Callithrix jacchus: one gene and its partner. Each later gene encodes a partner of the first gene's protein in a complex. Links are inferred from orthologs where the notes say so. Each region holds a gene or a part of one and is shown in the gene's direction. Other genes may lie near its edges.

Region 1 (3,754 bases):
ACAGGCGGCTTTGCCTGCACTGAAAGCAAACAGGTAGCATTCGCGTGTCGGGTGGGCGTGGGCGCTGCCTGGAGACGGTGTAGAAAACCAACCATCTCCTCTTTTGCCTGCCCGGGGCTGGCGCTAGAACTATATCCCATCCTCACCTTACTCGGCACCACCCCAACTGCCCTCAACACCCAAGTCAGACGTTTCCTCCCGGAAGCCCTTTCCTCGGGGCAAGGCTTCCCCCGGGCTCCACCCCAACTCCCGCTCAGCTGTGGAGGGCTCCTTGGGAACCTTGAGTGGAAGCCCGAGTGTCGAGCCTGAGACAGGAGGTGGAGGGCGCGGAGACAGATGCAGGAGCTACCCCAGTCCCGCAGCGAGGAGCTGCAGGAAACTACGGTAGCAATAGTGTCACGGTCACTGCGGCCACTGCGACACAGTACGGTAAACGCGGCGCTAGGCGCAGACTAAAGCATCCGCTCCTCAGCAGGTGACGCACGCAGCCCCGGTCTCCAACGCCACCTCCACGTTCCCTGTTACACCAGAGAAAGATGTTGAATCCCAGGCAGCGTCCCTACCTACACAACGCCTCCTACCCTCCCTTCCCCGCAGCCTCCCCCTGCGCTGCCAACACTCGCTCTCCTGCTCCTCTCTCATTCCCCAGAATCGGGGGTGGGGGCGAGTGATAAAGGGAGGTGGGCAGGAGAGAAATCTCTAGGAGAAGACGGAAGAGATCTAGGGAGGGGGCGAGCCTGCAGGACAGTCGCACAGGGAGGGGCAGAACTCCCTAGCCGGGGAGGGGGCGCGCAGTCACCTGGTGGGACGGAGGCTGGCGGAGGGACGCGAACCCAGGCGGGGAGAGCAGCGGGAGAGCGGAGGGCTGGGGCCTGGGCTGGGGGCGGGGACCGGGCGGGGCAGGGGGGCGGGGGAGGAGGGCGGCGGGAGTCTGAGTCGGAATCGCAGCGTGAGCCGGTGGAGCCGCGGCTGGAGCCCGCCGGGCCAAGCTGAGTACGGCGCCGGGCTCGGCGGGGGCCATGGAGCTGCTAAAGCTGAACCGGAGCGTGCAGGGCACCGGACCCGGGCCGGGGGCTTCCCTGTGCCGCCCGGGGGCGCCTCTCCTCAACAGCAGCAGTGCGGGAAACCTCAGCTGCGAGCCCCCTCGCATTCGCGGAGCCGGGACAAGAGGTGGGTGCCTCCCTCAGCCCCCTCCACAAGCTCCTCCTCACTGTACCCCAGAACACTTATAAGTCCCCCCCCCACGAGCTCCACACTACCTCCTCAAACGCCCACACCATGCCCCTCATAGTACTGCCTCAGCCCCCAAACAGCCCCCCTCACACCTTCACCCCCACAGCTCACAACTTCATCACAGCTTCACACCACCTGGTCGGAACTCCTTCACATCCTGGTCCCCCGGTTACACCCAGAGCTCCTGCTCACCCCAAAACAGCCCTCTCCCCAACACGCAGCCCCTCCTTGACACCAGTCAGAAGGCGAGGACCTCCTCTTGCCAACCCTTGAAGATCTGCTTTTCCTTTTACACCTAGTTCACAAAGCCACAACAGAGAAGGAAAGCAAGAAAGGAAGGCAAGATTGGGGAAAGAAGGGGGCCGGCGGAGGGAGGGAGCCCTGTGGAAAGCTTGAATGGGAAGTCGAAATTGTGGTCACATCTGACACCCCAGCCCAGCCCCCAGCCACCCAAAAAAGATCCTCGAATCTGAATTAGGCTGAACAGTAGGGGATGCTCTTTAGAGCTGTCTGTCTCCATTTCACTCATCCTCAAACCCCCTGACTCCCATCTTGGAGCTTTCAAGGCTCTGTGGTCTCTCTCTCTCTGTCTGCAAGTAATGTCTCCAGCTGTCTTCCAAGCTCCTTCTCCAGCCCTAGACTAGGTGCTGGGGGCACAAGGGCAAAATAGACCCTCATGGCTCATAGCCAAGTACAGAGGGAAAACAAGCAAATGGAAAAATCACAGACACCATGGAAGTCCCATGAAAAGGTCTAAACTGTGGGCACCAGAAGAACTTTACAGAGGCCAGAACCTTGAAGCAGGGTCTGAAGTTGAGTGGACAGAAAAGGAAGGAGTGGGATTCTAGGTGAAGGAACAATGTTAAGCAAAAGGAAATTTTTCTAAGCTCAAGAAGGGAAAGTTGGAATAAATTGTAATCCACATATTTATTTACCCCACGAAATAATTGATGCTTTCTCAGCCCAGTTGTTACACACTCACACTTGGATTCTGTCATTCAGCCAATATTTATTGAACCAGAGATTGTGCTAGGCAGTGGAAATGTAAGTTGAACAAAACTGACACAATCCCTGCTTCAAGGAGCTCAGAGTTTAGTGGGTGAGACAGAGCAGCAGGGGATTGCAGCACGAAGTAGAAGAGCCTTGATAGGAAAAAGACAGTGGGAATGCAAGAGGAGCACCTCTAGCCCAGCCTAGCCTCCTTCAGAATTAAGGTTGGCCTCTTGAGGAAATGAGATATAAAGTCAAAAAGATTAGGGGGATTGACTCTAAGCTTCCTGTTGGAAAATATATATAATGTACATATATATGGGAGAGCCAACCAAGTAAACAGGCAGGAGAGACAGAAAGCATCCCAAGGAAAAGGACAAGATATATGAAAAGCTCAAAGTTTGAATTCACGGCACTTTTATCCACTGTGACGTAGTTTTGAGTGGCTAGAACATATAATTTAAGAGGGGAATAATGAACAGGGTGGAGATTAGCCCAGAGGGTTTGCAGAGAGCCTACTAGACCTGACCATGGAATGTGGACTTTATCCTACAGGCAACAGGAACTACTAAAAGGTTCAGTAGTACTACTGGGATTAGTTCTACAATGTAGAGAATGGATTGGAAGACAGGAGATGGAAGGCAGGGGGATACTTTAGAAGGTTACAATATTACACTGGTCTGGGGGAAAGATGGTACTAGCTGAGACTAAGGTGATGGCAATGTGGATGGAGAGAAGTGGATATATTTGAAAGCCTCTTCTGGAAATGGAATCAACAGATTCGAAGCAGAGAGTATGGAAGAGGTCAAGGGATGACATTCAGATTTCTAACTTGGACAGTTGAATGGATATTGGTGCTATAGCAATTGTATACAATGAGAAAAATAACAAAACAGCAGAAACAGGTTTGGAAGAGGGAATTATAAATTCAGCTTGGAATCCACTAAGTTTAAATGTTAGTGGGACATTCCGGTGATGTTACCTAGTAAGCTGTTGATTCCAGGGGTCTAGAACGTATAGGGAAGATCTGGGGTGGAAATACAGACTTGAAGAAGGTCTTTGCCTGCAAGAGGTAGAAACCAGGAGAATAGTTAAAATCATAAAACGTTATATAGAATGAGAAGAAAATAGGTGCCGGGTCAGGACTCTGCAGAAGAACGCTATTTAAAAGCCAGGCAGCAGCAGGAGAATCCATGAAGGATATTCAGATGAAACTATCAGAAAGGCAGGAACTATGCCCTTCCAGAAGGCAAGAAAAAGAGAGTTTCAAGCATGTTGGGGTAAGTGATGTCAAATGCTATTGACATAAATTAGATAAATAAAAACAGCACAGTCAGAACAGCATCCTTCACATTCAATAACAAGAAAATAGGAGTTGTAGGTATTGAGGCTTAACTATGGTAGGCTGAAGATTGGGCTGGTGGGAGAGGGGATTATGAGAAGCGAACCAGGATATATGGCCAAAACTTTCAAGAAGTTTGATAGGGAAAGAAAGAAAGAAAGAGAGAGAGAGAGAGAGAGAGAGAGAGAG
Region 2 (2,032 bases), on another chromosome or scaffold:
GTCTATGTCCCTTTGGTATTACTATTTAAAAGTTTAACTTTTTGTTTTGGTTTTTTGAGACAGGGTCTCACTCTGTTGCCCAGGCTGGAGTACAATGGGGCAATCTTGGCTCACTGCAACCTCGCCTCCCCGGCTCAAGCGATCCTTCCACCTCAGCCTCTTAAGCTGGGAATACAGGTACATGCCACCACGCCCGGATAATTTTTGTATTTTTTGTAGAGATGGGCTTTTGCTATGTTGCCCAGGCTGGTCTCAAACTCGTGGGCACAATTGATCCACCCTCCTCAGCTTCCCAAAGTGCTGGGATTACCATGCCTGGCCTAAAAAGTTCACTTTAAATAACAAGTCTTGGGCAGAGCACAGTGGCTCACATCTGTAATCCCAGCACTTTGGGAGGCTGAGGGGAGGATCGCTTGAGCCCAAGAGTTCAAGACCAGCTTGGGAAACATGGTGAAACCCCGTTTCTACAAAAAATACAATAAAATTAGCTGGACGTGGTGGCAGAAGCCTGTAGTCCCAGCTATTCTGGAGACTGAGGAGGGCGGATCACTTGAGGTCAGGACTTCAATACCAGCCTAGCCAATGTGGTGAAACCCCATCTCTACTAAAAATAAAAAAATTAGCCAGGCGTGGTGGTGTGCACCTATAGTCCCAGCTACTTGGGAGGCTGAGGCAGGAGGATCACTTGAACCCAGGAGGCAGAAGTTGCAGTGAGCGAGATCCCACCACTGCACTCCAGCCTGGGCAGTAAGAGTGAAACTGTCTCAAAAAAATTGCAGACTCATCAGCAGATAGAGGCCTGGAGCCACACGGTTCAGTCCCCTGCCTCTGGGCCTGTGTGGGGACAGCCCCACCCTTAAGCTGGGCCGTTCTCCCCTTTGCAGACAAGATGCAGCGACTGTGTGTGTATGCGCTGATCTTTGCACTGGCTCTGGCCACCTTCTCAGAAGCTTCTTGGAAGCCCCACACCCAGCGGCCACATGCACCCTTAGGTACTGGGGCCAACAGGGACCTGGAGCAACACTGGCTGGAAGATCAGGGCCCAGCCTCTCACCACCGAAGGCAACTGGGACGCCAGGGTCCCCCACACCTGGTGGCAGGTAGGAGCTGCTCACCGCCCTGCTTGCCTCACCCGGCCAGGTTTAGCCAAGGTCTGCCCAGACTGGCCCTGACCTTGGTTCCTGGAGGGTAGGCACCTTTCCCTGTTCTCACCTCTCTCACCTCCTCAGACCTGTCCAAGAAGAAGGGCCCATGGGTGGAGGAAGAAGAAGAAGCCTATGGATGGATGGACTTCGGCCGGCGCAGTGCCAATGACGAGAACCAACAACCCTAGAACCAAGCTGCAGAGCCCAGCCATCTCCTACCCCACCCCAGCCCTGTCACTGAAAAACAAATCAAAAATAAACTAGTTGCCTGTAATCCCAGCACTCTGGGAGGCCGAGGTGGGCGGAACACCTGAGGTCAGGCGTTCAAGACCAGCCTGACCAACATGGTGAAACCCCGTCTTTAAAAAAAAATTAAAATTAAAATAATTAATTAATAAACTAGTTTCCAGTGGATCAGTGGACTGTGTCAGTGCTGCAGGGAAGAGGAGGGGGATTCATCTGGGGGTGAGGCTGCAGCAGGGAGGAGAGCTGAGTGCCTCTTAGGGGCAGGGACCCTTACTCTGGCTGATTCTCCTTGGGTTCCCTAGAGCCCCACACTGAACAAGAATCCACAGGTGTGAGTGGAATAATAGATGGTAGGGTTCAGAGCCACAGTAAGCTTTTTTTTTTTTGAGACAGAGTTTCACTCTTGTTACCCAGACTGGAGTGCAATGGTGAGATCCCAGCCTCCTGCAACCTCCGCCTCCCAGGTTCAAGTGATTCTCCTGCCTCAGCCTCCCAAATAGCTGGGATTACAGTTGCCTGCCAACACACCCTGCTAAATTTTTTTTGTATTTTTTAGTGGGGATGGGGTTTCACCATGTTGGCCAGGCTGGTCTCAAACACCTGACCTCAGGTGATCTGCCTGCCCAGGCCTCCCAAAGCGC

The links. The genes of interacting proteins can lie anywhere in the genome.
Region 2: the proteins of CCKBR (region 1) and GAST are in contact, whole or in part, in a cryo-EM structure (PDB 7XOW), measured with the Homo sapiens proteins. The link is inferred for Callithrix jacchus from reciprocal best matches to the Homo sapiens genes CCKBR and GAST. Residues at the interface, in NP_795344.1 of Homo sapiens: Cys107, Pro114, Asn115, Gly118, Thr119, Phe120, Met134, Gly135, Val138, Tyr189, Gln204, Cys205, His207, Leu222, Val349, Tyr350, Ala352, Asn353, Arg356, Pro361, Ala363, His364, Leu367, Ser368, Ile372, His376, Tyr380; in NP_000796.1 of Homo sapiens: Glu85, Ala86, Tyr87, Gly88, Trp89, Met90, Asp91, Phe92.

What each region holds. Positions count from the first base shown.
Region 1 is NC_133511.1:71,929,761-71,933,514, forward strand, and holds the start of CCKBR (gastrin/cholecystokinin type B receptor), read left to right. Parts: upstream 1-927; 5' UTR 928-1,019; coding exon 1,020-1,170; intron 1,171-3,754. UniProt on the Homo sapiens protein: Receptor for gastrin and cholecystokinin. The CCK-B receptors occur throughout the central nervous system where they modulate anxiety, analgesia, arousal, and neuroleptic activity.
Region 2 is NC_133506.1:91,537,537-91,539,568, reverse strand, and holds GAST (gastrin), read left to right. Parts: upstream 1-881; 5' UTR 882-889; coding exon 890-1,100; intron 1,101-1,229; coding exon 1,230-1,333; 3' UTR 1,334-1,497; downstream 1,498-2,032. UniProt on the Homo sapiens protein: Gastrin stimulates the stomach mucosa to produce and secrete hydrochloric acid and the pancreas to secrete its digestive enzymes. It also stimulates smooth muscle contraction and increases blood circulation and water secretion in the stomach and intestine.